2 linked regions of the Neodiprion lecontei genome follow. Each later gene encodes a partner of the first gene's protein in a complex. Links are inferred from orthologs where the notes say so. Each region holds a gene or a part of one and is shown in the gene's direction. Other genes may lie near its edges. The genes, in order: probable Rho GTPase-activating protein CG5521 and ral GTPase-activating protein subunit beta.

Evidence for each region.
Region 2: probable Rho GTPase-activating protein CG5521 (region 1) and ral GTPase-activating protein subunit beta share a complex: the UniProt entries of both Homo sapiens proteins name them as parts of the heterodimeric RalGAP1 complex. The link is inferred for Neodiprion lecontei from reciprocal best matches to the Homo sapiens genes RALGAPA1 and RALGAPB.

Annotation. Positions count from the first base shown.
Region 1 is NC_060264.1:3,473,556-3,489,822, reverse strand, and holds the start of probable Rho GTPase-activating protein CG5521, read left to right. Parts: upstream 1-5,889; 5' UTR 5,890-6,115; coding exon 6,116-6,221; intron 6,222-7,919; coding exon 7,920-8,030; intron 8,031-8,288; coding exon 8,289-8,306; intron 8,307-8,814; coding exon 8,815-8,986; intron 8,987-9,091; coding exon 9,092-9,449; intron 9,450-9,538; coding exon 9,539-9,819; intron 9,820-9,921; coding exon 9,922-10,207; intron 10,208-10,295; coding exon 10,296-10,666; intron 10,667-10,799; coding exon 10,800-11,022; intron 11,023-11,351; coding exon 11,352-11,559; intron 11,560-11,657; coding exon 11,658-11,789; intron 11,790-12,489; coding exon 12,490-12,741; intron 12,742-13,922; coding exon 13,923-14,113; intron 14,114-14,184; coding exon 14,185-14,283; intron 14,284-14,363; coding exon 14,364-14,648; intron 14,649-14,712; coding exon 14,713-14,838; intron 14,839-14,973; coding exon 14,974-15,141; intron 15,142-15,566; coding exon 15,567-15,623; intron 15,624-16,267. Other genes in the region: uncharacterized protein LOC124294672, read right to left, coding at 3,448-3,595, 3,974-4,217, 5,223-5,358. UniProt on the Homo sapiens protein: Catalytic subunit of the heterodimeric RalGAP1 complex which acts as a GTPase activator for the Ras-like small GTPases RALA and RALB.
Region 2 is NC_060262.1:38,831,011-38,847,080, reverse strand, and holds ral GTPase-activating protein subunit beta, read left to right. Parts: upstream 1-5,696; 5' UTR 5,697-5,751; coding exon 5,752-5,823; intron 5,824-5,843; exon of another isoform or gene 5,844-5,862; intron 5,863-6,005; coding exon 6,006-6,426; intron 6,427-6,808; coding exon 6,809-6,835; intron 6,836-6,942; coding exon 6,943-7,157; intron 7,158-7,463; coding exon 7,464-7,647; intron 7,648-7,836; coding exon 7,837-8,097; intron 8,098-8,722; coding exon 8,723-8,908; intron 8,909-9,358; coding exon 9,359-9,463; intron 9,464-9,558; coding exon 9,559-9,699; intron 9,700-9,808; coding exon 9,809-10,047; intron 10,048-10,172; coding exon 10,173-10,403; intron 10,404-10,499; coding exon 10,500-10,653; intron 10,654-10,737; coding exon 10,738-10,845; intron 10,846-11,467; coding exon 11,468-11,632; intron 11,633-11,813; coding exon 11,814-11,954; intron 11,955-12,059; coding exon 12,060-12,074; intron 12,075-12,267; coding exon 12,268-12,428; intron 12,429-12,512; coding exon 12,513-12,686; intron 12,687-12,766; and 13 more. Other genes in the region: E3 ubiquitin-protein ligase RNF8, read right to left, coding at 16-123, 206-313, 588-697, 1,671-1,797, 2,209-2,646, 3,002-3,872, 4,230-4,346. UniProt on the Homo sapiens protein: Non-catalytic subunit of the heterodimeric RalGAP1 and RalGAP2 complexes which act as GTPase activators for the Ras-like small GTPases RALA and RALB.

The DNA of each region.
Region 1 (16,267 bases):
TATAATTTAATAACGCCGAAATTTGTTGTACGGATGGATCTAAGGTCGATATGTGAAGTTGTGAATTCCCCCAACCAGTCCGCAGACTCTGCGAAATTTACCGGCGAACGAATCTCTCGCGTTATAACGATCTAAACCTTTCAAATCGCATTAATAACCCAAATCAAGTTTCAATACGTATATACGTGTACACGTGTTTGTATTCGTGTATCCTTGTGAACATTTGACAGAAAAACAAAAAAAAAAAAAAAAGTAGTAGAAAAGAAAAGACAAACGCCAATTTATGCAGTGAAACAGGATGTGGACGGTATTCGATACGTCGTATGGATGCAGCTGATCGATTCACCGTCGCAAAGCGGAAGTCACATTCTGACAACCTTACAACGATTAGGATTATCCAGATTAAGGGGACTGGTCTGCACTTTGGTTCTGTCGGTACGTTTGGGATTATGGTTACATATCAGATTCGAAGTATCATTTAAGAAGCACCACCCATATATTCGATATTTTATCGTTCGGTATAATTATGAGAAATTGGATCAACGGTAAGATTTCTTTCAATCTTACTCCTTCGGTACATCGATTAAAGACTGACGAATTTCTTCCTCAGATTCATCGAAATGGTATCATCCCGATTTCCCCATCGCAAATCGATATCTTGTTAATCATGATTGCGTGATAATTCGAAGGGTCGATATTCGCCCGCGGTTGATTCGAGTCGAGACTCGGTGTGGCCGCAACCGGATCATCGAGTAGGTACGTGGAGAAGGACGAAGGGGAAAGGAGGAAAAGGGGGAGGCTCGTGTTTCCGCCTGGTCGAGCAACAATGCCCGCAGACAAATGAGCATCCCGCCTCCATTGTTCGTTACATCGGCACCACCGGGCACCATCACCACGCGGGTTGGTTTGGATATTCGAACAAGAAGAAGAAGAAGAAGAAGAAGAAGTGGAAGTGGAAGAAGAGAAGAAGTAAGGAGGAGAGGACGAGTCGCGACGCAGGTACCGGAGAAGCGAGAAGCAGAGTAGATGAGATGAGATGAGATGAGGTGAGATGAGATGAGATGACGTCAGAGAGGAAGGGGGGGGGGGGGGGGATCGACACGTCCAGTGGCCCGCGAACGAAGAGCCGCACACCCGGTCGACGAATGGGACCCGACTGGGGGGTCTTCGATCAGACTGACGATGCGGGCCAGCACCGATTAAACATCGGATGAGAAGAAGACGCGACTGTTTCGTCAGTATCGAGTCACCGATTAGTTATTCCAGACATTTTTTCATTCAATTTTTTCTAAAAGCACAATACGGACGAATGGTGGTTCGTTGGTTATAAAGAGGAACCGAAGCTGTTGAGCTGTCGATATGCTTATGGACATATATATATATATATACTGCGGAGGGATAAAATTTGATTCAGTCATATGTCGCGATCTGAAACGCGATGTTTTCTAATGTTTTTTTCTGGTTACAGAGGGAGAGAGAATTAATGGCTGCGGGTGAAAATTTAGAAAGACCAAGACATGGAATAAGGTGACAATATCGAATATTTAAAGAAGCGAAAATTCAATTTGGTAAAGTAGAAAATGTTGAATATATCGAAGTACGGGGAAGTAAAAAAATAGAAAGGTCAGAATATATATATATATATATATATATATAATACCAAAATGTAGAAACGTCAGAATTCGTGTCGATAATATATAATTGAATAAGATTCTAGATTATATGTTGTTCTATAATGTTTTGTATTTCCGTATTTCGACTTCCCGCACTGAAACCTTCTGAATTTCGATAATTTTGATTTAAATTTTCACGTCTTTGAAAATTCTACATCTTGGATACTTCCATCGTTCGGTCATTCTTTTATTTTTCACCTCCACCCGATTTAATATCCCGAATTCTTATAGTGCATTGCAGGCAGTGTGCACAATGTAAGGAATAAAATAAAGGGCACTACAGGTTGTGAAGAAACGAGAAAATAAAAATAAGGACGCGGTTCATGCGCCGCCGCTGGAGGTAAGAAAGATATTGCGAGGATCGTGGAATTAAGAGGAGCAGAAAAGTGAGTGGAGGGGAGGCGGGGATATAGTCGTAGGCCTAAGGTGGATCGAATTTCTCTTATCCAGAAGGCGGCTGAGCCGTAAGCCCACCAAAGAGCAAGGTGTGCTCTGGCGGTGCTTGCACCGCAGGGATAGACTAGGCTCCTCGCTCGCGTCGACGCATGAATGGGGCCTCCTTCGCGAGGACGCGACGCGAACGAACGGACCCAGACATCTGGTCCCGGGTCTCTCCTTGCGCATAACGCGTTCTACCACAAGGCGGGTATAACGCGACCCTCGCACAGTCTTCTTGTATTAAAAGCTAAAAAACACTCCGCATCCCCTTCTCCTGGTCTTAATTACTCCTGCGGCAGGTCGAGGATTACGCGTATACGTATAGTATACTTCTTCGGTTTCTATTCTCTTCTATACTCTTCCTCATTTGTTTTTTTCGCAACGGATTTCAGCGTCAGGCGCACACGCGTATACATTCGTACTTGAATACCACATGGAAAATCGGTCATGCAGGTTAATTTTATTATACAGATAGACGCAATGCTTTTTTCACGTAGCTTATAATGTGTTGGCTTATCCGATGCACGACGTGACGTTGCGGGTTTTTCATTCGTGGATCGATTTCTTATGCATACAACCTTGATTATATGCATGTATAGTATATCCATGACGTATGAAAAAGAGAGAGGGGGGGGGGGGGAGGGAGAGATAGAAAAAAGAAACACGGGGATACCCCGAACTGAACGAGGAAGCTAAGAAGAAGAAGGCGGAACGAATTACTAAAGCCGTGCAGGTCTGCCGGGAGTTACTATTAGACGTGCATACGTCGTACATGGGAGAAGAGGGACTTCCGGATTCGCCCCCTACGGACGCCCCCCGCAAGGGTAAACAGTTTTTTTTTTTTTTTACCACCGCCCTTCCCGCTGCGGCAAAACAGCCGAACGACGGTCGTTTATTAAGGGCGCTTTTTGCGGCCCCCGTTATATGCATGTATATATATATATACACTCTATACGTGTATTTCTATATAATATACGTCGGTTCCGGGTCGTAGATTTTACCGGAAATCGACCATCGGTTCATCGGATTATCCGCAATGATCGGGAACGAAAATCGCCCCATGCAAGCAGCTTATATGGTATATAATATGTAGACCTATAAGTAATTTACACGATTCTAAATAGTTTATCACAGACGTACGATGAAATTCGTTGTTTCTGTATTCAAGAGACGGACAATCCGCCGTAAACAGAATCAATATCTTAAAACGAACAATTTATAGATTAATACGAGTGTGCCTGATCGACGTGGAAACGGGAAACTGAACCTAACCACACTTCCACACTGAAATTTCTACCGTCGAGACAAACTATGTCGAATACAACGTAATCCATCATCACGGAATCAAATGTTGATACTTCGCGGGTTTCTCGTAAGCGGGTTTCGATTTCTGGTGCTTGACGCGTTCTTGAAAGGCCTTCAAGTCCGCGGTCAGTTCCTGGTAAGACGGCGGCACGGAATCGGCAAATTCGGGCTCTACCTCCCTAATTATGGTGTAAAAACAATTGTGATCACAAGCAGTTATAAGACAGAAAGCGACGGAATGATGTACGAACCGAAATATTTATAAATAAGTAATTAAGTAACATACGGAATAGGTATAAATATAGACACACAAAACATACACATGTCAAACCGTAAAGTAATAACTTGCCATCGGAATAAAACTTTTGTAGAAACAAAAAAAAAACAAAAAAAAACGACTCCATTCACACAAGCATATAACTGCTCAGGTGCGGAGAACTGTGGATAACATCGAACAAAAAAAACATGCACATTTTACATACAAAAAGCAAAAACGATCTTTGAATAAATCTATATCCAAATCTCACTGATAATCGAAATGGAAAAACCTGACTCACATGTTTTGCTCCTCGCGAACGCAGCGTTTGCAGGTGTTACTGGCTGACAAGGCGACTCGGTCCAGTCCCAGCTCCTTCAGGATCCTCAATTCGTCGAACCAAATCCTCCTCCTTTGCGGCGATTCGGAACCGGCACAAACTCCCGAACTGTTGTCATCGCATCCTGGAATCGTCGAATCAAGGCACTTGTCGCACCGAACTGACGAGTCCTTCGACCAATTCACTCGCGACTCATGGCCATTGCCTGCCGACAAATTTTACCATGTATGTTCGCAGCTTACTTCAGAGCGCTCGAATTAAGCATTGATCAACTGAAAACTCCGCACTATAAGCACTAATGTCTTCTTATCGCGGCGTTTTATTTCGTGTTACAAGTAAACGTTACACATTCCTGCCCGAATTTAACGATTCAGCCAACTCTCGCGTGCTTTAACAAGGGTTTTTTCTTTCAATTAAAGCTTGGTTGTCGAACGAGGATCGAACTGAGCTAACAAACCGACAATTGAACGACGCATACTACCACATCCCGCGCTCTGTTCAATTGTTTTTAAAACCATCGACATTATCTGCGTATAGATTTAAACTTGCGGTCGCGATTCGAACCGGAAGTGCATTGAATTACGAAGATTGTTGCGTCGGAGGGGTGAAATAATAGAAATATGTCGAAATAAATATACCCTCGGATTATTACTTGTTTATAAAAGCGCAAATTCGTTGGAAAGGGAGATTTAAGTCACGGTGTTTACGAAGCGACGCCTTTAGTTTCTTTTGTTTTTTTTTTTACATAAAATCGATCTATAATCGCAATATGCGGCTTCGATAATCCGTCGATATGACGAAAATAATAGATTTTTTTTACTAGGTTAATACTACTTAATAAAAATGTATGATTTGTTTTCGTTCACCGAAAACATTGTACTCAAAATACAGGCGTGTCATGTATTTTCTACGGAACCTGCAACTGCAAGCCATTCTTTAATCATGCAAATCATCGGATGGATTCAACGAATACAATTAGCGTTAACGTTTTATTCGCTTGGCTGCAGGTTACCCCTACCTTAGCATGTACGTTATATGTCGTTTAAGAAAAATTTAACTATCTGTTAAAATAGATCGGGAAGCAATTACTGAAAATACTTCTTACGCAAACACGCCGATCAGGACCATCTAGCTTTCATAGTCAGACCTGTCTCGAATGCGGAGAATTCTCGTCAACGCTGTTCTATCACCTAGGGGTTAAACAGCGTACCCTGAGCCGGCCGAAGGGGAACCAGTTCTTTCTGACAGTCGATAAACTCCCAAAAAGACTTTATCTTCGCTCGACGACTCTTACCGCCGCCCCTAGTAAAATCTAGCTCGATACCGGCCACCTCGCTTCCCGCCATGTCGCTTCTCGGTCATTCTCTGTCCGTTTGTTTCTCGCTTTGCGCTTGTTTCTTCTCGCAGTGACCACGGAGTACGTAACTACTAGTCAGCCTTCGATGGGCTAACTTCGTTACTTTTAAACTTGTCTTACTAGTTGTGGCGTCGACGGTTGTGGCGCTAGCTTCGTTCCCATGCAAATGGCGATATCAGGCGATCGAAATTTTGTCCGAGCTTGCCTCCTTCGCTCAGTTTTCGCTTCAGTGGCGCAGCAGTTGGCAGCAGTGAATTAAGTCGGCGCGCCAAATTCAAACTCACATACCGCGGAACTGTTTCTACATTTTCCTGACACACATTGAAAAGGAAATTCGTGCTGCTAATAAGCGAGAGTTAGAATTGGATCAGTATTTAAAAATATTTTAAAGATATCAGGTCGCAGCTGCTCGGTAATATTGAAAATCGGAGTAATCGGAGTGATCTAACGATGGGTGATGTCATTACCCTGCTTTGGGATCTGGCAAGTAGGTTCGCGGCGAGAATCAAGATGGCTGCCACATGCGATTAACGATACATCGGACATCCGACTTGTGCAGTGCGCTCGGTCCGACACACTGACATTTGGTACATGTATTAGCTACTTTTTTATACCGATCCGTCAATCGTACTTCGGGGTGTTTTGTCGGGGTAATTATCATTGCGTGTAACTGATGAGGAATATTTCCAATCCGCTCGATGATAGTATCTCTCAGCGAGTCCGCCGGCGACTCGCATTGAACGACAATGTTCAGCAAAAAACTTCACGTAGACGTCAAAAAGTCAACACTCAAGATACAGGATGTAAAAAAGGACAGCGCTACGAGGTTTAAACATCTGAAAATCGTTCTTGGTGAGTATCTGGCATTTCCTACACTATGATAAATATCTTTTTACAAACCTCCCTGCCTGCTGTGTCAAATCAGATGGATACATTTGATTAACCAAAACACCTTTAGGTTCCAATAACCAACAGGGTGTTATTTCACATTCTCTCTTTCTCTCTCCCCCCCCTCCCTCTCTCTCTTCCACATCTATTTGAAGAGAGACTTCTGTTGGTCTTTACACCTACGCGATTTTCATCACAAATACCTGTTTTCTTTACGCATAGTTGAAATCACATTTGTTGTTGTAGAATAAAGGATAGTTGTCAAAGCCTTTAACGTCAGCGAAGACACGTCGCGACGCAACTCAGACCCTGATCTGCATTCCATTAATATCGGTGTATCACATGGTCCGATTTGATCTAAGATTTGCATCTTTGAGTAAACACATAAAACGATCTGTCCTGTCTATATTTGGCATCGACTAACACGATTGCATGTAAATATTTGTTTTGTACAACAAGAGAGAGGTGCTATATATTATTTTCAATCTTCTCTTATTCTGAAATACAAAAAGTTGTTGATGTAAATAAAAATTTTCAAGTTCCTTTTGTGTTTAATTACCTATATTAACAAAATCCTTGATATTGATATTTGCTCAGGATCCTTGGAGAAATACAAAATATTTTGCAGTAAATGTATTTACTTGAAATTACTTGGTGTTTATTATCATATTATACATTCTTATGTTGTTCTGCATTTCATGTTAGATCGGATTATTCCATAACAAAAATTACCGATTCATTTCTTCGATTACATGCTATAATTTTATAGTAAGTTTGAAATGGTTTTATTTATTCGTATCAAGTCAAAGATGAATATTGCCTTGAAAAATGACCATGTATATGACCATGATTATGAGTCGTCCTTTACAAATTGAGAGAACTTAATTTTTGCCAACTGGTTATTATTCTTTGCAAGGTAAATATGAAATCTGAGCAATTGAAACCGAGTCCAAACGTACACGAATTGATTTTCGAATAAATATCTCACCAATTATTCCACCAGGCAGATGTGGAATATTTAGTAATCTGTAAATGATGGCTCTTCTAGTCTGACAAAACATTGTATACAACATGTAATTTTTATTCATTTTTCCTGATCCTGAAATTTTTACTGTCGGCAAATTGCTAGATACAAGCACTTGCTGCCAGTGTGAATGGCAATAATAAAAAATGCCTAGAATAAATAAAACACCTCTGCGTAGTCCTGAGGCAGTTGTGGTCAAACAACATTATAGTAACTGGTTGGTATCTAATCACCGGACCACATTACCAAGCTGACCACACAGCTTGGTTCGGCCTCCATCTGGAGCTAAAATTACTCTTCACTGTTAAAAACAGATAATTGCATATCAATAATTTTCTCAATTCGAACCGTCTTGCTGCAGAATTTCCTCGTTTAATTATTTTTATGTTACATCCGCAAGACTTTCTTTTCTCATATCATGATGTTATCAAATCGTTTCAATAAGTTAATCCCAAGTTCTTTTCCACGAACAACAATCTGTTTGCCCAGTTGTAAGTCTCTAGTATTTTATTTTTCCGATGCAAAACATTAGAAAACAAAGGATGTTTTTACCTTGACGATATCAAGGACTTGTAATTTTTTCTCAGAAAAGTCGAGCGGCTCATTACACTCTTTTTTTCTTTCACTGTATTTTACAGAAAACGTAGACACGGATGAAGCGAAGGGTTTCTTCGAGGGGAATTTCAGTCATGTATACTTCATACTGTACGACTGCTTTGTTTCCGCGGAAGCAAATTTACGCCAGCGTGGTAAGTTTTCTAAACTTCTTTTATTCCACAATGTTATGCGCCGTTTACTGCAAAAAGATATACACATGTGTATGGAAACATTCTTTATATAAACAAATACATCAATGACAACATTGGTTTCATCAATGGGCATTTGTTAATTAATTTATTGTTGCCTGTTGTTATATTGTCACAATTATTAATTCTGTGTATTCGATAAACTGTGTACTGATGACAATTGTTTTTCTCTATTTTCCCCCTCTATCACTTTGCTGACAGAACTTTCCTTTCACCTCGGTAAGTGAAACATTTTTGCCGAGCATGCAAAATACCTTGCATATACTATATATATATATATTTTTTTTATATACTTTTTTTCGCAGTCGAGCAGGTCGTAGAACTTAGAATTGTGTATGAAATTTATATGTAACGCACTGCACAATGGGATGAACTATTCTCTTATAAAAATATCTCTGAATTCTCCTACTTTCTATGGCTCAATTATGTAATAACTGTAATATTCTCAAATATGTTGCTATTCGATCGTTCGTTTTTTTTTTTTTCCCATTCGTTTGCACTTCTAATACAGATTTCCATCGTCGCTAATAAGTTGCATGATCAAATATGAGATTGCACGGAAACGGCAGTAACGATTCCCCTTTCAAAAATGACCCATCTCAGAAAGCGATGACTTGATAGATTGATGGCATGATTTTCTGTGTGTTGAAAAATAATCGATATAAATCAGGAGATACAAAGACGTTTTAGAATTGACCTGTAAATATAGATTTTTTTCTGCAAACAGTTCACAAGGCGCACAGAGAAGAGCTGGAACAGGTGTTACAGCTTTTGGAAAAAATACTGACACTCCTTCCTGAGCTTCTGAATCGAAGATGGCAGTGCCACAGCCTTGCCAGGATATTGAGGAAACTTTTACACCCAGGAAACAGCTGGAAATTACGTCGTCAAGCCATAAGGTTTTGCAAAATTTTATGGTCTCATTGAAATATTCCGATTTGCTTCCTGTTTATTACTTTCGCAACAATTACGGATCCTCAAATTCTGCTCATTTATCGCTGCAGATACTTCATACTCTGGTACCAAGCGCTCGGCGACAATGCTCCGGAACACATACATCAAATGTTCGCCTGTCTGGTACCCGGCTTTCCACCAAGTCAGGCATCGCCCTATAAGCTTGAGCGTAAGTCGGATAACAAAAAGGATAAGCCAACGAAATCAGCGAGCTACGATGACAAGGAAAAGAGAGAATTCTATGACACGCAATTGGGACAAAGCATTTTCCATGACACCGGGGTAACTCAAGGACCCATCAGCCTGGTTGATGGCGGGCCAATTTTACCGCCGCAGAGCGGCGAAAAGCCACTGGACCACGAAACCGTGCGGTTTCTTGAAGCTCTACTTGACTTTATGGTTAGCCAGGTATATGATCGTGGATAAATATACAATTGGAACCCTATTCTGTCGCCCGTCGTTTTTAATTTTCTTTTTTCTTCTTCCTATGATTACAGGTTGTCAAGGTCGAATGGCGAGACAAACACGCCAGACAACACAAGGCGTTTCAATTTCTACTGGAACGATTTAAGGCAACTTACTTGCGATACATCTGCCCAGAGTTTAACGACAATTTTTCACTGTACAAACCGAATTTAGAGCTTCCTGGAATGAGGAAACCTTCCCCTAATCAAGGCCAGGACGTTTACACACTCTGCAAAGTTACGCTTATCAAATGGGTCGCTAAATATACTCATGTCACGAAGAAGGATGGTCTATTGTTGCAGCCTTTACCAAAGTACGAAACAACGAATGATTGTTACTTATGATTGCATGTTCAAAAATAGTTCTTTTTTTTTCGATCCTCTAAGGAACTGATCAATTGTTTTTATCTCATCAGCACGACAACTAGTGATGAAAATCCAGAACCAGAACTTCGGCGTGTATCCGTTATCCAGAATTCAACGGATCCAAATACTTTGTCTCCCGAAGTTGCTTCCCAGCATGAAAACCAGGAGGATAACACTGTGCTGGCCACTAATCTAGTGCGAGAAGTCTTCTACGGGAACCGAGACAATGTTAATTTCGTTCACGAACTTTACAGACAAGCATTTCTACTAGATTTCACTCACGCTGGTGCTATAAGAAAGGCTATTGCTGTTTACAAAGACTGGATACAAATGAATGTAAGCTATTTTGTTGAAAGCTAGTGGAACTTGAATTGATTGCTTCGAATTGTAGTATAGAATTTAATTCGTCAACTATTATCGTCAGGAACTTCCATCATTCATGCTAGAGCCCTTGGAGAGTCATAAGGACAGAGAAATTGAAGATCAAGTGAAGAGGGAGGCTTTAATTAACGATCGAAGTCCACCGGAAAGCTACAGACAGACTAGACTAAGAAACGATTCGTATCTTGGAGCTATTCACAGGGAAAATTTGTTTGTGAGGGCTGGATTGCAAAATGTTTTACAAGTTTTTGTAACACAAGCTTCAAACGTATTTTTCTTAGAAACGCCAGGGGGTAATGCGTCCGCAACTCTGTTAGAGGAACAAACTGATAGCTGTAAACGTGTGCTAAATGTTTATCGCCACGTCGTTATGCAAGTCAGACTTGAACCCGCCACCTGGGAACAATTACTTCGGTGAATATTTGTTTCAGTACACAAATTGACACACGCCATAACTTTTTCGTGCTTGTAATCTGAACTCATGATTTATTACTATCGACAAACCTTTGGAATTTTGCATTTCATTCTTTTAATTGTTATTTTTCAGAGTATTACTACAGATAACATCTTTGGTACTAAGCGACAAAACATCGCGTAGAAAACAACAAGAAAGTATCGGCGGTAAATTGGCGCCGGCGATATTTCAGACTCTGATAGTAACTTGGATCAAAGCTAATTTAAACGTTGTTATATCTACTCAGCTTTGGGACCAATTTCTCGCCGTTTTAACTTCCCTAACCCAATGGGAAGAGCTGATTCGTGAATGGGCTGTAAGTTGCGAACTTGACACAACACACACCCTCCACTAAAGTCCCAAAGTGGTTTGAATTAGTATTTTATTTTTATTTTTTGTTTTGGATCACTCAGTCACGCATGTAAAAAAAAATATCAGTATTCGACGCTGGTTGCAGATAATTTATAGGGAAAAAATATTCAATTAACATTAGTACCACTTAAAACTGTAGAGGTAACTTATTACTTATCCTTGATACATGGGAAAAAAAATCCCATTACCTGAAGTGTTTACAAATTTAAAAAATCTCAAACTGCTTCGAACAGAATAATTCGTAAAATTTCAATTCCGTAATATGATTTGCAGAAAACTTTAGACACTCTAACCAGAGTTTTAGCAAGACATGTGTACAATCTTGATCTCAATGATCTACCACTGGATCGGCTTAGTGAGCAAAAGTCAAAGAAAAGACGAGGTATCGGCAGCCGTGCCGCTTCAACGGGATGTGTTCAGCCCCAAAGGAGAGGAAGTGTTGATCATGAAACTGGGGCAACCATGAAGGACAGTGTTACTGGTGATTAAAAATATGCGTAGACCATTTCGACCATTTTAAAAGCCTAAACTATTCGGTGTAATCCAATTTCAACTCGAGCTTTCTCTCAAACCTCGCAGATCATCCACTGCGCGACCCTAGAAAATTCCGTCCGCTTCCGAGAAGCGCTAGCGATAACACAATATACAATGGGAAAGGAAAAATTAAGCTGCACAGACATCGCACTCACACTATACATTCCGGAGTTCCTGGTAAGTTGTATGATCACTCGTTAAATTTGTCGGTAGGCTTGATGATTCGCTGATGTTTTTTTCTTCGTTGTGAGTCTACAATCTAATCGCCATCGTGTTCATACTCATATTCAAACATGGATGCATATAAAACAGCCATTTTGTTGACCCTGGTCTATTTATTACCTTTATTCTTATTTTATTTTTGTCATCGTAAATATTATTATTATTGTTGTTTATTTCCCGCTTTTTCGGTGTGTCATCATCACTGGGATAAAAATAATCGACTCTTGTGTCAAACCTCCTTCATCGGATGCAGCACAGTTTTAAATCGTTTTTCACTTACGTTTATTTATCATATCAGTCATCGCCATTTCAATTATTCAAGCAGTGTTTGTTGGTGACAGTAAAAAATGTTGTTTTTTGAAACTCTACTGCACAATTTTTTTCAATTACGTATCTGTCTGCTAAAGTGTCCAATGCCTCTGCTCTAAAATTAATCTCACATTGAGTTTAAGTAATAAAATGGATAATTATCCAATGGTGGTATATGGGACAGCAAATGTGAAAATATTGACTGTGAATTGAATGGACTCGCATTAATTCGGTACTTGCGATTAACGAATCGTGGTGATATTGTAGAAGAAAAAGTAGGCACATCGCAATTTCTGATTGCGGTATATACGATCATTGTGAACTAAGCGTGAATTTCCTCGGGCAGTACTCCCCTTGTCAATAGAGCAAGATATGGCAAGGCTATTGTCCACTACTGCTACGACTACAACGGGTAACGAGCCTGCAACAACAGTATCAAAAATGTTACCAAGCAGACGCACTAAGTCATTGGACAGCGTCGTTGTCGTCGACAGCGAACCTCCATCTCCGCGCTGTCCTTCGCCTACACCCAGCAGTGGCGTTGATAGCAACAAGGATAGTCCAATACAGATAGAAAATATTGATGGGAACAGCATTGGTGAGTAGTAACAGCATCCCTAGAATATGAAAAACAAACTGCACGGTAATTTTAGAATGGCAGTGAATTGAGAATTGTAAAAAAATGATTATTCTTTCTATCTCACTTACCGAGATTAGAGTATTTTAAGATATAAAATAAGCGTTGCTGTACACGTTTAAGCGCAGTTTGAATCGACAATATTTTTCGTTAAATATTCAATAAGCAACAATTTTCTTATCGATTCGAAATTGTAAATACAGTCTTCAGACGAATAATTCGACGTTTGTAACGATTTACCTAAAAATCATGCGTACAATTTTTTGGTAATTACATATTACTCTGCTCGATGGATTTTTAGGAATTTCTGCGAAATGTTTACACATAACGTCGTAAATACATGAAGTAATTTAATAGCTGCATTAGCACGCTCCGATAAAATACCACATGGCTTAATTCTGATAACTACTTTACGGCAGGTTCATTTACTATTAAACATCAACATGGTACTGAGTGAAATTGTGTTACTGGGAATTACAAGCCTTGAAATTAGAAATTTAAACAGGAAAGTACATACAAATGGCTTATTGCCAAACGCAGGAAGAATTCAATGTTTCCTTTTGATTGTACTAAACCTCTTAGTTAAAGCAAACTGGAAGTGACGCTTGACTGAAGATGGTGTTTTTATAAATTCTACTTATTCATTCACTTACGCAACTGTAAGTGGGAACTTAACATTTAGATCATTCACTCTTACTTCTTTGATAGCTTGATCAATTCGTGCATCTAGAATCTTTCTACTTTATTGCTTGGACAACAACAATGCCTTTTTCGCTTAAAAAATTACTCAAGGGTAAGAAGTTTTTTACGTTTGTCCTTTCGTCTGTTTTAGTCTCTCTCTTTTTCTCTCTCGCTCTGTCTCTCTGCCATATTCGATTTGCTCAATACATTGGCTAATTTTTATTTGCTATTACTGGGAAATCGTGTTTATCATTATCGCTTTTGAAAAAAATTTTATTATAAAATATACATTTCGTATTCTTCAAACAGCCCTCAAGGAAATATATATTTTATTTCTGATTATGTGAATTCGAAAGAGAGAAAAAAAACACGGTACAAGTTCTTGACCTACGATACTAAAGAATTGCTTGAAAATTGAATTTCGAAACACTTCGGTTTAACATTCTATTATTGTTGTTCAGATACAAGCGATGTATCGGAAAGACGATCAGTTATGGCTGGAGGCGGAGTTCCTGGTTGGCTACCAGACGTCGCTGTAGCTTTATGGCGACGAATGCTATCAGCATTGGGCGATGTTAACAATATTCAAGACCCAGCTCTTCATGGACAAGTTATGGACTACCTTGTCCAGCTGACTCACACACTGATAAAAGTGAGTTTCACAGTTATAGACTCGTTTTCAAGCACCCGGCTAATTAATTCAATAATTTATCTTCGCTTCAGATTCGTTTAAACCAAGGAGTGTCCGGCGACAATCAAGGCACACCTCCTGTACCAGACTTAATTCCACCATTGACTATAATCGCTCCCTGGTGCTTCAAGGTGCGACAAATTATTCACTATTCTTGTCCCCTTACTGTGCAAAAGCAACTAAATTGTCTTGTTATTCTACTCATTTGCAGGCGATACAGTTGCCGCAACAGTATGAAGTTGGAAGGCTAGCCGCATATCGTTTGATTTGTCTTCTCACTGTTCAACCGATGGACATATCTCTTCCCAAGCCACATTTAACGCTATTTTACCGCGCTGTACACAACGGAATAGTCAGCAATAACACCAAGGTTCTTCACGCTCTTGTAAAGTACACGGGACCCAGATTATTCAGCCTCAATCTGCCTGGTTCCAGTTTACTAATTCTCGACTACATCCACGCAGCTAACGTCATACTCAACAGCAACGACGTTGAGGTGAGACTCGTCGTAACTTTATTGCTGTTAGTCAGTGTATAATAAACTTTTGGCACATTTACAGGCGCCCAGAACAGAAGCTGTTTCCATATTGGGATCGCTGCTCTCACTACCAGCTACAGTTGCTAAACTTCCAGTATTACAGCCCTCTGGAAGCGATATCGTAACAGTAACGTGCCCCGATGCGAAGGTAAGGAAAATGTCTTGACAAGTTTTCTGAAAAGCCAAAGTTTAAAGTTTCAAGATTATATTTCTTTAATACCGCGTAAGGTCTAACAACGATTGTTCAAAGAATGAGATGATATCATGTTTTAAACTCGAAAAGGAGCACATCGTGACGATCCTGATCAGGAGTTGTCGCAGAGAACCAACGGGTGTGGCAAGGTGTGTCGCACTTTCCAGCATCGGCATGTTTGTCTACAGAGAATTGTCGCATAAAACGCAACATGCCAGAGTGCCAGAAGCTGTTACGGTGCTTCTTCTAGGCCTGAGGGTGAGTTGAATCAGATTCAATGGACAATGATCAATCTATGCATGTTGTAATTTCGTTTGAGCGCAGAAGTATATAAGTATATATTTTTTTTACAAAGCTGAAGTGGTGATAGTAGTTTGAATCTTCGACAATTTATTTTCTTTTCAATTCCATTTTCAATATATCTTATGATATTATATTTCAAAGTAGTATAAATTTTATTATTTATTAACGAAACGACACATTTGGTATTTGGTCGATTGAGCCACTCAAGCATGATTTAGTAAAGCAATATACACATATACGGCACAATGCTTAACGCGCGTAACAAAGCTGCATGTTATAATACACATATTGTTGAATAACTCAATATCGGAGGTGATTTAGATGCTGCAGCTATTGTAGCGATTAGTATTGTTGTTATTTCTGTTGGGTCTGGTTGACAGAGGTTGCAGGTTGCTGGGCAGCGAAAGGATGGGATGAATTTTCCCCTGCTAGACAAGGTAGTCTCTCTCTTGGTCGCTCCTACAAACTCACTCCCAAGTCTTTATTGTTCATCTTGAACTATTTCAGTGTCCGTCCAACATTTGTTATTTCAATTGTCCACGTCCGACGTTCTGAAGCCTAAATCGTTGTCTGTTTCATCCCGCAAAGAAAGATCAAATTGTATAAAGCGACGTCGAACACGTTACAGAAGAGAATACGGTTAGAAGTTTGAATCTACATTTAATCGATCATTTTCAGCGTACACCGAAAATCAACTAGTGATTGGCTACGTTAATACTGACTTTGATTGACTCATGCTTTTGTACACAGAACGAACACTATGAAGTACCTACCACAATGTCGTTCATGTACGCTTATTTGTTTCGCATGATCTATTACACTATGTTTTTGTTTAAATGCAGGAATCAAGCTTTCCAAATTAAAGAAGTACCAGCAATGATCGTGTACAGAAATAATTATACAGCTAAATGATAGACAACTGGCATCTCAAAACTTTTATTTTAGGGGAAAGTGAGGGTCCAGTAAAATGTTTTTCATTTTTCAACATCAGAGCTTACAGCTTACTACTTAAAAAAATTAGATCTTCTCTGAGCAATTTATTGTCCTATGAAATGTTTTGCCTCTGTCCAAAAGTATCGAT
Region 2 (16,070 bases), on another chromosome or scaffold:
CAGGATCGGACATACCTGAGTCGATTGAGATGTCCATGTTTCCGGAGTGGCTCTCCGGATCCTCAGAGGTCTGACTATAGGAGTAGACGGATGAGAGGGAGTTGGTATCCTCACCGTCGCCGTCTGTTGCAAACACAATCCAAAAAAATTGGTATTTGTGTGCCATTCATTTGCCAGGTCAATAAAGATAGAAAATTGTATATACCTGTCGACGTGCTCCACGTTGAACCGTCATCATCATCGTTGGTCTGTTGGGTTGTATTACCTGAACCCTGGGTGGATGCGGGTGTCTGTTCATGATTTGTGGTACCACCTGAAATAAATATAAATTGAAGTGACTGATAAATAACGTATATTGTGTTTTCTCAAATACTATCAAAAATCAACCCCATTTTTAGTTCATCTTACTGAAACCACATTTTGGTACACATCTTGTACCAATCATTGAATATACCATAACACATATGTACATTCCAAGAAAGCTCTTCAGTACTCATCAACGAATGGTAAGACTACTTCCTAGAATAGAATGGAACAGCACAACACAATTTCTGCAGGGTAATGAGGTCCTTTCTTTTTACACCTACCACTACTTGAGCGTTGTTGGCGATGTTGACCGCTTGACCCTGAGGCATTGTTCCAATCCGGATTGCTACCGCTTGTCCTGCCTGGGATGTGATTGTTACCGGCTGTCCGACTGTCAGATAAATTTTAATCGCTTGATATTTTCATAGTTATATGATTCAATTTTCATACAGTTATGCGGTTTATCTTTGAATAAAATCTCTTTTTTGTCCCGAGGGTCTAATTCGAAAAATACAGTATATCGATTATGAAAACCTTTTAATATTGTCATAGATGTATTGCTGGTGAAACTTAGGTAACAGGAAATGTTACTAAACCACGTACAGTCTCACGTTCATATAAAAACAATAATAAGTTCGAACATATTCTTAAACAGGCACACAATTAGATATGTTAATTCTAATAAGGAGAAATAACTTGGCCAAATCAGACGAAAGTTGCTTACAAACTTGAATAATATGGTAACTATCATTCTTGTTTACATGTAAACATTTTTCAACAAGTAAAATCAACTTCAGGATGTAGATAACATTAACAAAGCCATGTCGAAACATGTGAAAATCTCAATCTAAAGTACACGAGACTGTCATAACGATAATTAATTTTTTAACTAATTATTGACAAAGGGAAGCCATATTTAGTAAGAAGTACAATATAAAAGATTTTGAGTGTGTATATTATACATGCAATGAAAATTCCATTAAAAAATAAATTAAAAAAAGCATCAGGAATATTAAATTGTTTTCACGAAAAAAGTAAAGCACCAAGAGGCTGGCGCACATTTCGATTATACGTAAAAATAAAGGAAACTAATCATGAATACAAGTTTCGAACTCCTCAAACGCAAGGTGGTTATTTTTCATGGGTTGGTTACATATTTCAACATTTCAGTAGATGGCGTCTTTTTAAATTGAGATGGGTAATACAAGTATATGTCGATTTGAAAAATTCACCAGAAATTTCTACTCTACTCAATGTGAATGAATAAACGGTACATGTATACATCGCCCTACGTAGTAATGCGATTCGAATTAAAAGCTCATGTCAGTATCTATTGTGATGAATTTACACACTGACCTACTGACCTAGTCGCTGCTGTAGAAGTATTTCCAGTACGATTAGTATTTGTATTCGCGTTTCCTCCCCTACCTCGGCCTCGACCTTTCTTTCCACGTGCTTGATTCGCCGGTTGCTTTGCTGCCCTTTCATATTCTGAAAAATATTAGTTTAAAGCTGTGAGAAAAATGTAGGATATATGGCATCTTGATTTCGACTTCTGATGTATCGTATTCTATATAAATAAGATTAGTACAATTAATTACACCACCTACCAGTTTATTGTGGTATAAAATTTCAACAGATTTCGTATGATGGATACACTATCATAAATCAATCATAGCATACGATTTGGAAATACTAATCGTTCCACCGACATTCACTGTCAGATGGTTGTAACTAATTTTCCTTTACTTAAAGTCAATAATACCTAATAGAATCAATAAAACCCACCGTTTTGGAAAAAAAGGTATGTAATTTATACTAAAAACAATTTTACAAATTATAATACAGTGCAAAACTGGTAGGCGTTAGATTTTACAACAGATAGAGGAAGGCCGAGTTTACCTCTCCGTTCTTCAACAATATCTGTCCTTCGTTTCTTATATTCCACTGACAAGTTTTCCACCATTTTGTCAATGAAATTGTCTAAAACCAAAGATCGATTCATGGCAATTATTGCCGTTCTGCACACCGGACATTCTTTCTTTTTCTTCTCCCAAGTATCTATGCAGTACTGACAAAATGTGTGAGTACAATTCAGTGTTGTTGCTTTTACGAATAGTTCTGAACAAATACTACATGTCAACTGTTCATCCATGATATCGCCAACTTTGTTGAAGACGTCTTCATTAGCTGACACTGTGCTGCTCGGTGGAGCAGCTTTCTTCGTAGGTGTTTCTTTAGTCAAATCTATCGTATCTAGAATCGTCAGATGTGACTCATCAATAATTTCAACGTTTTCTGCCACAGTACCGAGGGCGACAACTTTTGCAGCTGACTCTGCTGAAAAATAATCATGACTAAATTATATAACAAGAAACATTTGATTTTTTTTTTCAGATTAACACTGCCACAATTTCATAATAAACTTAAAAAGGATACAATTTTTATTCTTAATAACTTTGAGAGAAAAAAAAAAAAATCAACTATAATATGTGTAGATGCGAAATTTGCGTTCACGTAAAAAACAACATTACCTCATTAGAATAGGACAAGAAAAATTATGCAAAACTGAAGTGGCTATTCACGATTTTTTCAATATTAGTCATTTACTCCAGATTTGAGATGAAGAAATGACTTTAATCTATTTTACCCATCGTACCCACTCAACTATACTTTCCACAGTAGATAAAATTACCATTTTGTTTTTCAAGAGTAGTTTGAAGTTCATTGGCTTTTGATTCTATCTTGAGTAAAGCATCTTCCGTCTCCTTAAGTTTTTGTTCGATTTCAACCTTTTCACTCTGTAATTTTTCAGCAGTTTTCTTTTCTTCGCTGAGTGACTCGGTTAGCTTTTTGCACTCAATCTGTTGTTCATTTTTCAGTTTCTCCAACTGTTCTTTCATATTATTGACCAACATCTCTTTTTCTTTCCTACTAATCTCCAAGGCTTCTTCCAGCTTCTTTTTCTCCTCGTTCAATTTTGTCTCAAACTCTTGCCTCTCCTTATCTAATCGTTCCGACAACTCTCGATTCAGTTTCTCAAGATTCATTTCGGCCTGTTTGACTTCCTCTATATTTTTTTCCAGCATGTTGATCTGATTGTTTAAATGATCCTTCACTCCCTTTGCCGCTTCTCTTTCGTTCAACAACTTTTGCAGTTCATTTTTCAACTCCAGTTGCTCGTTGTGTTTGGCTTTCATTTGTTCCGCAAGATTATCCCTTTCCATTTGCTGCGATTCTTCAAAAGTCTTTTGCTTCATAACAATATCTTGTAAATCCATCTCTGGCACAGACATCTTCGCCTTCTTGGTGAGCGGCTCACTCTTAGAGAGTAGTTGCACTTTGTACAAAAATTCAGACATCGGACCAAACCGTACAGAATCATTTATTTTAATCGTCCGTATTTCTCCTGGTGCCAACTGATTCCCATTGACAAAAGTACCAGTCGTACTGAAATCCTGTATCGTCCATTCGCCAACGTCTGAGCGTTTGATAATACAATGCTGCCTTGATATCGAAATATTAGCCAGTATCTCGTCGTTCGATCGTCCTCTACCTATTTTAAACTGCGAGAAAATGGGAAATGCTCATGATGTATAAATCATGCTATCGATTCTGTCGTAACTGTATAATGTATACAAAAAGGATATAATTTGGTGGTAAAATCATATATATAAAAAAGAATATATATACTCGGCAATTTGTTAACCTATGAAAAATAGAACACGGGTTCTATGACATGCAATGATTGAAATAGAACTGAACTGAAATATATTAAAGCTAACTGCTCGGCTCAAAGATGAGGAAATCTTTTGTGAGTGAGTGTTTGATAGAACATGGTAAAATTCGTGCATGAAACTCCTGACACCAATAAGAAGCTGGTGAAGTTTATAGTGTGAGTAATGTTATTCCAACTGTAATACCTCATTTTTGTCAATGTGAATGAAACTACTGGGATCGGTATTTTCAACGTTGACAAGCACGGCCTCCAGACTATCAGACATGTTTCTTTTCGAACTATGACTTTCCTGTTCTTCCATCGTGGTTGATGAATGTTCTTGACAATTTTCAAAAACTTGATGGCGACCGCAGCCGATCTTGCGTTAATTATCAAAAACACGCCGAATATCACATCAACATCGGTTAATTCATGTTATAACATTGCGTGCTTTGTTTTGGGAACGAAGAATCGCTCAGGGAACTTGCTTCAAAACCTGCAAAACACTATCCTATTACCGAAGCTAAACTCATGTAAACAAAAGCAGCTCGTGCAGCATAGGAAGTGAAAAATTTCACTCTCTCTTTTTTTTATCGCCGAAACGATAACCTTTCATCACAGCGAATTAAATCTTTTGTATTATCAGTAGTATTTCGAATTAACGCAATTCTGAACCCTCACTGATATTTCACTTATCCCACTTTGAATCGATAAATACACCGTTATGATTTAATGTACTTGAAGTTATGCATCAAACTTAAAATACCGTTGTTTATCTTTGTCAATGCACCTGCAGCAAATTTCTGGCAATGCGCAACCAGCGGAAGTTTATTGTGTGGCGACCTCTGGACAACGACCAGGTTCGCCCGTCGTCAGAGCTGAGAGCAGCGCCCCAGATCGTAAGCGGCAGCGTAAGCAGACGCTGACGTTCCGTCTCTGCGACGAATGATCGTTCGAGAACTCACCACGCGCGCGCGCCCAAGAAAGCAAGACCTGTTACACTCAGCCAGAGCGGTGGCAAAAAGAACCGCGTGATACTTACCTCTGAACTCTTCAATAAACGATAACTCATTATCCGTGATACATCCAGGTGTACCAATCATTCAGTTACCCGTCCTCCCTTGAATAAAGCTAATGTAACAAGAAAGCCAAAATTGTGTTCTCAAATACTGGTTCTCAACCCAGAGTCTTATGCGTAGTTCACTTAAAATGATTAATGATCAGATTTGTTTGGTTCATTTATTTATTGGACGTCCACAGGTTTTCTCATTTTTTTCATTACAAAGAGTTGATTGTTCGGATTAAATTTGTATGACCAAAAATCTGTTTCATCATTTACACCTATCTTTGATAACTCGCCCACACTCGTAGTTTGTTTCTATTCTAGGCTCGTAGTTTTGTTAATACCCATGAAGCAAATCAGCTAGTGCGCATGCGCATTGCGCGCAGAGTTACTTTTGCCAAATTACCGCTAGGTGGATGGATTTCGGATTAGGTTTGCGTTGCTACTACCAGCTTTTCAGCTACACGAGCTATATTCGAAGTTTTCTGGCTGAGTTTGACAGGTCAGAGTAGGAAGTTAATTAATTATTCCTTTCCAATCGTACGTCATACTTGCGCATGGTAATCTATGAATTTAGGCGTATTCAACAGGGTTAATCTCAAGGTAACTTATACGCCTCACAGTCCAGCATTCGATATTACGTTTGACACGTAGGCTATCGTTGATGCAAAGCCCGACACTTGTCAAAGTTGCATGTATAACCTCAATAATGACTGGGCCAAGAAACTCGATCTCGGTAAATTATTAAATAATCGTCGGAGATAGCAAACGAAAGGTTAATGATGTCTTTTAACAATGGAGAAATTACGGCCGAACGATATTCTCGTAGAAAATTAAATATCACGACATCGCATATATGCGTTTCAGAGTTTAATAACCATGTTTTTATTTTCATATCGTAACCTTACCTCTGCACAGGATTCTGGAGGAGGAATGTATTCAGAATGGGCCTCCCTGAGCACACTGGTTCAGAATGGCTCAGAGGACAGCCAGAGCGTTTTAAAAAAATTCCACCCTGTAGCTGGACGAGAAGTAGCGCTCTCGATCGTTCGTCAGCTAGCTACTAATCTTGGCATAACACAGGCAGCTGAGCACAGCCCGTTGACTACGGATCGAGAAGTTCAGTGGTGTATGGAAGTCATTTGCTTCGGACTTTCGTTGCCATTGGCGGAGCATGATACTGTCAGAGACTGTGTTAATGTCTATTGCGAATGGCTATCTGCTCTGTATTCATCGCCAAAAATTTCTGTACCAAGACCCATTGTCGAGGACCCAAATTTTTATGCACGTAAAATAATCAGCCACTTCCATAATTTATTTGTACCAAGAAAGGGAGAAGGTAAGATATGTTTAACACTGTTTTTTGTTGTTTTTGTTGTTAGTTCAGTTGGTGAGATTGTAATAACAAGAATGTCTTTCAAGTTAATACAATATTACTGATCAGTTTAATAATAATTAATTTATAATTACAACATATAAGTCTTTTAGAAAATAATCTAAGCACAGTTTTAGAATCATTTGTCTGTTTTAAAGTTCTATTAGTTAGTTAGTTGAAGTTATTTTGTATCAACTTACAATGGGAACAAAATAACTTTTAAGGCTCAGTTTGAGTAATTTTGCGACTATTTTTGTTCCTTTGACAAAACTGTACCAATTGTTTATTGTCTTACGTAACCCTTATCAATAGACTAACCAATTTTTTCTATATTTCTTGTCCATAGTCTGGCCATTTTTGTACCAGGATTTAGGTAAAGGACTAAACTAACACTTTCTGCACTTGTCTTTCAATATCTTAGGTATCTTGAGTATTTTCTTCATTTTTTGTTGTATAACAATTTGTTACACTCTTTTGCAGGGGCTGACACAATAAATAGACAAGCTGTGCTATGTCACAGGGTGCTCAGAACTCTCCAGCAAGTCGCAAGAGGACCTGCAACTTTGGAGAGAGAAACATGGGAAAGCTTATTATTGTTTTTAATAGGAATAAACGATGCTTTATTAGCGCCACCTGCTGTTAGAGAGGATGCAGGTGAACAGCTATGTGAAAGAGTTCTTGGTGTATTGTTGGAGGTAAAAATTACTCAATGCTTTTGAGAAAAATAACAAGCATTTAAAATTAGTGAAGCTGAAGCTAGCAGCTAGAATTCACAGCCAAACGTATTAAACTTTTCGGAAATAGAAAAATGCAGTTCAGTTTTATTCTCATAATCCTATAAAAGTATTACAGATTAAAGGTATTTAACAAAAATTTGATTTTCGGTCTTCGTTACATTATTCGAATGAACATTAGAATGTTTGGCTGCTAATTCTGGCTGCTATCTTCAATCTCGTTTATTTCAGACCAATTCATGTATGGAGAATGTCACTTTGTTTCAGGTATGGCTCGTCGCCTGTGAACGCAATTTTCCATCTCCTCCACTGTGGCGCACATTACGAGAATCGTGTTTACGATGGCGTCATAGATTAGCTCTGGTAGAGCAATGGAATCGTGTTTGTTTAGCTCTGACCGCAAAATTACTGCAAGTTATGTACGGTCCAATGTTTCCAGAATTAAAAATCAGTAAGTAGTTTCAGATTAAGAACCATCTGCTTGCCGAGATCCTCTTAACTCTAGTGTCCTACATTTGGACTGATCAACGAGATTACTACTTTTTCTTGTTCGAAAATGTGAAATAATGAAACTCTAATTAAATTTTACTAACATTAACGTATGAATTGTCAGAGTTTTGAACATAATGATACAAACTAGGTGACGAAGACGCACACCTGGTACCTCAAACAATGTCTGATGAAGCAGTGGCACAATCGTGGTACAGATTACTACGAACTGTTGGCGATCCAGTAGATTTGTGCAGACCAGCTGTAGTATCTCAAACACAAGCATTTTTGCAGTACGCTATTGCTAGTCAAAACGTGGTTGATCCATGCCAGCATCCCTGCTTACAGGGCTTACCACAAATATTTCTAAAGGCTATCAAAGGTATTGCTGGTCAAGTTGATGCTTTTTTGGGTGAGTAGAATCCCCGACATTATGATTATATTTGTAATATCATGTGTATATATCATAAAATTTACCACATTAATGAATTTCGTTATATCTTCATAAAAGCTTTCAAATATTTGTACAATTTTCGAACTGTACGTATCAATAATTCAACAGCAATATTTCCCATTCCATAAAATACGATAATAATTCAAGCTAAGAAGCTGGGTCTCCATTTCATTACTGTTTGTCAAAGCGGTAGTGGCTACAGTTGTTTCTCTGTTCACTTATACAAATGTGGGTGGTTTGAAGCACGTTTTTCATATTTATATGTATGGGGGAGGCGTTAGTGAAATCCTTTGATTCATTAGAAATGTGTCGATACATACCAACTAGATAACACCTTGATGAAAACTTGATATCTTTTGTGAAATTAGTCTGTATATTCTGTTTTTGTTCAATTTCTCAGTGTATTACAGATTAAAAAAAAAATTTATTACAAAGTATAAATTAAATGTACATATTACATTGTAAAGTCTTATTCAAATTCAAATATCACATACCACTTACATCGCTATCAACGCCAAATCCAGCACTTTCGCAACCTTTTCTACTTTTTGGTTGTGGTCGCATGGCAATGCGAATGTTCCAGGGGTATCACAGGCTTGCTGCTGGGAGGAGTGTTGCATCACTAGTGTTGCATCTGCAAGTGGCGGAGGTGGTGGTGTGGCGGGAGATAAAGCTGGCGGTAAAGATCAGCCACAGCCCTCCCCCACACCACCAACACAGCGAAGACTGGCCAAAAGTTTCAGTGTCACACCTTCTGCTGTTACTAAGGGTATTATTATTAGTGCACTGATTTACCACTACAATTCTTACACCAACTCCTGCATTTATCTCATTCATGATGTAATAGCGCAAGATGCAATACCTTTGAACCTATGAGATCTGCGAAATTACTTTGTATTTTACAGTTATACATACAAATAATATCTATAAACCTATGAGAGCAGCTTCCTGAATACAATTTACTTGTTAGCACAATGCATCACTAGTATGAAACTTGTCTTTGCACGTTGCTATTCTGTTACACAAGATGGTTAGGAAATTCCATTTATTGGCACATTTACCATCTCAGCATATGCCTCAGTTTTTACCAAACTTTTGACGACTCTTATGCAAAATATTTATAGGATTTCGGAAAATCTGTTATAGCTAACTGAAGTGCTTCTTAAAAAAAAATCATATATTTACAACTTATCATCATGTGCTTAATTTTATTGATCAGGAATCCCAAAAGCTTCTCTAATTGGATTAACAACAAGTCGCATATCTAGCAACCCGCCTGCATCGACCCCCAACTCTGGCCCCTCATCAACTTCGAGCATAACGTGTAAGGCTAAATGAGGTTGTAAGAAGCTGCTATAATGGAATGGAACTTTAGATGAGAAAAATGTTGAAAATCATGTTAAAATCTTACCTTTTTAGCTGTAACATCGCTAGGCCAAGACATCAGGCCTCCCTTAGCACCAGGAAGGCCAAAATGTAACAGTATATTACATTTGTTTGGAGAATGGCTTTTCGAAGCAGCTTTTATAGGCACAGATGGATGGTCACAAAATTTGCCTCGTAAGCGTTCATTTTCAAATTTTATATCAATCTGCAAATAGGTTGAAATATTTTTGAATTTGCATCCAAGTCAGTTAACAGATACCTATAATTTGTAAAATTATTACAGAGCCATCAGGTGCTTCAAAGCGTCCATCATCAGTTCTTGTCGATGGACCAAGTTCATTGCAAGAAACAACTAGTGAAATCCCACCATCGCTTGGTATTGACCGTTATGAATCAGGTAGAGCCGAAGCTATGGGAGCACTTTGCAGGATATTTTGTGCAAAGAAGACTGGGGAAGAAATTTTGCCAGTTTATTTAGCTAGATTCTATCAAGCTATGTATCACGGCCTTAAAATAAACGAGGTAATCGCAAATAATCGTCTTTTCTCTTGGATCTCAACAATCGTGTATTCAGATGGGCAAACTTTTATCAGCAATTTACACTACGCTATTCTGAAATGATGAAACGTTCATTTTACATTTTTTAGACACGAGAATGTGGAGAAACTTTGGCCAGTATTTTGTTAAATTCAGCAGACTTATTTCGTCTTGATCTTGACGGTGTACAAGTATTGGTGCCAGCTGTTATATCTGCTTTGGAAATTGTGCTACCAGAAAAGGAACTGAAATTAAAGTCAAATGCTGTGTCCAGAATCGAATTGAGAAGAGCTTCCATACATCTGCTGATATCTATGCTGACACTTCCGCTAAATCTACAGGTAATGGTAACATCCGTTTGTTGGTGAATCAATGATTTCAATGGTTTCTGTAAAAGTTATATTTTGGCTTATGTGTATTTTTTTTTTTTAATCTAGAACTTACCTATCAAGGAGTTACCGTCTTTAACAGCGATAATCAATCAGGAGAAGAATCCAGTGACGTTTGTACAATTAAAACCCAGACTCATGAACTTGCTAATAAATGCATTACAGGTCGAATCTGATCCCTTAAACACACACATGCTCTTAGGTATGATTGAGATATTAGTTGACAAGTTTTATCCAACTCTTCTCTTTCTGCAAAGATGTTTTTCATTTTTCACTGTTATTACAGGGGGGTTGATGTTGAGCGTACAAGACTCGGCAGCTGCTGAAGAGGTTGAACAAGTAACTCAACCTGATACAATCACCAGTGATACTACAACTAATTTGCTATCATCAGGTAATAAGACGTCTAAGGAATCAGTTGTTATTACGATTGAATTAACAGTAATTATTATTTGGGATATTATTTTTTTTAAGAAAGACACACTTTTTTCCGAATTTTTCAAGCAGAACAAAATTTCATTGTTATTGATTGCCACGTTGTAACTGAGCCTTCGCACTGTTTCGTTTGATAAATAGCATGTACTAATTGAAAAGTTAATCAGTTTGCTCAAAGCACAATATTTTTTAAAATAAAGTATGCTACAACTCGCAGGGTTCAAAGAGTAAATTCAACAATATACATGAACAGTGATTCTCAATTTCGATTTGTTATACAAATGAATTTGGCTAATTGTACCATTTTCGTTTTCATCGAAACGTGGTATATTTTCAATAATGGCGGTCTTGCACACTAATCACAAGTTTAACCTGCAAGCATCTCGTTTTATTGTAATTTTTAGCTTGCGATAATTTGTATCGACCGTAAGAGAACAGGTTTGCTACGGTGTGAAATTTGCATTTGATTTTGCAACACAAACACCTGCTCTTAAAACTTTAGTTTTGTCGTAACAATCACCATTTTATCTTTGATTGCTTCTCACGCTTCTGTGACGTGTTGTTTCTCATTTTTATTTTGGGTTGTGTTCCGTTGCGCATTCACCATTGTACCATCATCACCTGCTTGATAGTCGCCAGTGATTCAACAAGTCAAGTAAGCATTTCCAGTGATCTACGTTCACTTGGAGATGGCTCTGATATTGTCACACTTCAAGAGGAAAACTCTGCCTTTGGTAAATACTTTGGTAATTATTTCTGTACTGCAGTACTGAATTGTTGTGCTCTCACCGATTGTCCAAAATGTAATTTAATCTTGACGTTAATATCACCAATTGTAAACGTATTTGACTGTTTATCTACCACATCCATGCAAAACGTTCATCAAAGGAACTTTCAGGCTAAATTCGTATACTGATTTTGTTACAGATTCTGCACATGCTCTTTTTGTAAGAGCCACATACTTGGTATGTCACAGATTAATATCATCATGGAAAACAGACTTGAACATTTCATTAGCAGCATTAGAATTGCTAGCAGGTTTAGCAAGGACGCATATTCGAGAGACAGGTAAATATTTCGGTTTATTCTATGTTGTACTATAACAAGAGATTTGCGATTGTTTCGTACTAAAACATCATGACTAATCAAAACAACATTACATATGTCAAGCAGCTCGGAAGCTAACAGGTTGGACTTCCAATTATGTTTTGTGTAATGCCCAAAAAGCAATTAGCTCCCATCACGCTCTATCAGTTCTTCAGTAAAAAAGTTTTTGAGTTTTTAGGAATATTAGAAATATTGAAAATATCATAGTATAAAGAATGTCCTAGAAATAATTTGAATAAGTTGTTCAAAACCTCATAACAACATATTGTCATAGATGCTCTTGAGTGTAAACGAGCAGTAAAATGGTTGTGTGATTATATCACTTACCAATGTTGGCGACCACCACCAGCTCATTCTAAGGACTTGCATTCATCTATTGTCGCAGCGTTCACTTGTCTAACCACATGGTTATCTGCTCACCCACAATTATTACAAGTTTGTACAAGACAATCAAGACGTTTGAATGATTTCTTATTTATGCCAGCTGAATTGGTTACTAATAACGATAAACATTTACAGGACAAGGATTGTCTTACAACAGTTTTGGAAGTAGTTGAATTAGGTGTGTCTGGTACCAAGAGCATTGGTAAGCCAGGAGAACCAATTAAAATGAAAGATGAAAAAGAATTAAAACCAGCATCAATGCGAGTTAGAGACGCAGCTGATGCACTCCTGACAATTATATTAGAACAGGTAAGTTCTATTCGGAATGAAGTCTGTAAACGAACGATCATGTTAGTTAAATATTTTAATTTCAATAATTCTACAATCAGGTAGGATATTTTCCAAGTGCCTGTGGAGCACAATCTCTTTCTTCCCTACTTGACGAGGTTTTGCTACTTCGTCACTGTAACAGCTGGACGGGCGGCCGCGTAGCTCGACAAGCTGCAGTTGAACGATTCCGTTACTTTGTAGCTGAAAATGCTACGATGCTAGCTCTGCTAGAAGAGCCGTTAGGGAATGATCAGGATCCACAACCTACTGTTACAGTGTTAATAAGAGGTCCATTCGGTCGACATGCGTGGACAATGCAACTTAGACATTTACCCAGGCATAAATCCAGCGTGAGAAGTATGAACTCAAATCCTGGGCGCCCATTGCCTTTGGCCGAGGCTACACCAAGACCAGATTATAAGCCGAGATTTTTCCCTGATAATGTTGATCGCATTCCACATTGTAGAGTGTAAGTAGATATTGACATGCAGTAACAGTTATTCAAATGATTGAACAAGAATTGAGGCTGTTGATTTGGCATCAAGTTAATTATTGATATTCTTGATTGTGGATATAATAGGGATGAGTCAATACCAAGCTTGGATGCAGTAATGAATGATAATGATACAGTAAAAAACGAGCATCATCTTTTGTCACAATTACTGGAGAGACAAATCAATCTGGAATCAAAGTCCAGTAATGATTTGGCTCGAAACGCAGATGACAAGATTGAAGAATGTACCCCGCCAAAAATTTGTCACGAATTTCAAACAGCCAGATTGTTCCTCAGCCATTTTGGATTCTTGAATTTAGACCAAAATGACAACGAAAATTCTACCACCAGCGGGCTCACAGCTTTGGATCCGTCAATGCCTGGATTCTGCACAGACTTGGAAAGTTTGGACCACACAAGTCCGAGAACCTGCGACACAGTACACGTATTTTACGTTCGAGCTGGTCAAAAATCTGCTGAAGAAATACTCTCTAATGTGGTGAGTTCGATTCTTGTCCACTTTTACAGTATGTACAGATTTGAATGAAGAATTCAATGGAGCCAAATGAATACTTGAGGGGTTGATTTTTGAACCTACACCTGAAACTGATATCATCTCTTTTTGTCGATAAATTATACGCAACAGCTACATGAAACGAGCGTATCTCCACATTTTTTGGAGTTCCTGAGTTCACTTGGCTGGCCAGTCTCAGTGTCATCTCATGCAGGATGGACAGGACATGTCTCTACATCGTGGCGTGCTACAATTCCAGTTACTGTACCGCAACCGGCTCATAGCGATCATGGCGGTGCTTTGTATAATGGCGACACGCATATTTTATACTGGGCTGATGTGAGCTCAGAAGTGGCGTTTATAGTGCCGACACATTTGATGGGGAACATGAGCTCCGATTCCATTGATGAGTCTAATTATAATAGCGATATAAGCGGTGGCCAAGGTAATGCAAATACACATGACTTGGATTATTTACTTTTTTAGTTTCATTGTAGCACCTCAATGATACTCAACAAATTTTTAAACAATGATGTGAGATATGAAAATACTCTGTGGTAATTCTCAAAGATTTTTTGAAATATGTTTTAGCCATGCCCATATTTTTTTGATTGGTATAATTTTGTTTCTTTGTTTCAGTTTTGCTTTACCAAATTCTCTGATCCTATTTGTGGCAAAAATTTTCATTCTAGCTTGGTTCGAGCGAAGCGTTAGTGAAAGTGCTGGAACCCGTTCGTATTCGGTTAATCAGTCAGGAAGTCAAAATTCTCGAACTATGTCGTTAGACCTTGACAAACAGCCTCCCAGTTTACCAGGCTCTGGTCCATCCAGCACATCAAGTGGGGATCCAATTAAACCTAGAAGAAGCACGAAGCACAGTCTCCCTATGCAAACTGATACAAGAATATTAGTTGTTTGGCTAGAGAGCTTAGAAGATCACTTGCAATTTCCAATCGGTAAGTGAACAATAAATCTTCGTCCACTCGTTACATCAAAGGGCAATTCCTATTCAACGTTAAATAGTTATTGTGAGGTGAAAATAGAACCTTAAACTGAACATTTGATGAAAGTAAATCGACTAGTTTATTAACCTTTCAATTATCAAGCACAATTGAATGTATGTGTCCGTCACCCATTTTTATGCATTGTTATAAATGTACAGCTAATCAATAACAATCTGAACACTTACTGCAGCTGACCTTCTATCTTGCACTCATACTGGTCTCGAGCATTCCAATGGTGTAAGGCCTTCTGACGTTCAAGTCATTTTTTTACATTCACTGTCGAGTGGTTTGATGAGAGTAAGACTACAAGGCCCTGTATCTAGAATAAATTTAGCTACTCCATTGGTTGATGGCATGGTGCTGTCTCGACGGGTGTTGGGCACATTAGTCAGACAAACCGCTTTAAATATGGGACGTCGAAGAAGGCTGGACAATGATAGGTAAGTGTTTTTCAAAAATGAAGCACACAGATGACTGTTCAAATTTTAGTTAAGAGGTAATTTTGAATGTATATGTACAACTAATGCTAGTAAAAAAGTTTTTGCCTCAACGAAAATAATGCATTTTTCTGGCTTGTGATTATCCAGCAATTAATTATGTATGATATACAAAATATGTGACCACGAAACGCTCGATATTCAAACTTTATGGAACCAATATATGTAATTTGCTTTTTTACGTAAATTTTTAGAGTCTAAAGTGAAGAGAATGAAATTGTTACCAAATTTTCAAACTTCAAAAGAAGAATTTATATAATGAGTTTTTAATTACTATTCTTTCAGCTATCACCCACCGCATGTTCGCAGACGATTGAAGGTCCAAGACATGGTTCAAAAATACCGATGCAACCTTAGTCAGCCCGAATTGTTAACATTTTTGTTCAGCAGTCCTCAAAATTAAAAAAAAAAAAAAACAGTTTATTGTCTCTATTAGTACTTTTGCTGCAACAATACCGATATCCACAACATATTACAGCTCCCTGATTACAGCCAACAGCAAACCCAGTTAGGATCTGAACTTTCAACTCGAGAATATATAGACAAGAATATCAATCTCTTCATTTCAGTTAGCAAAATGAAAAATTCCGCGAACAATAGATCACGAATGTATGAAATCCAGCTCACACATTTCTGCATCATGTGATAACAATACTGTGGTCTTATTAATGCAAACGGTGTTTATATAATATATGATATATAATAATGGCACTGATTGCATGTATGAAAAAAGTAATGAGGTCTTAATTAATCTAGTTATAAATGAATCTCTTTTGTATCGACGTGATTGTCGAATGTTACATGTTATCAGACTAATCACTTGTTTAACGGCTGCTTCTAGTTATGCAGTTTATC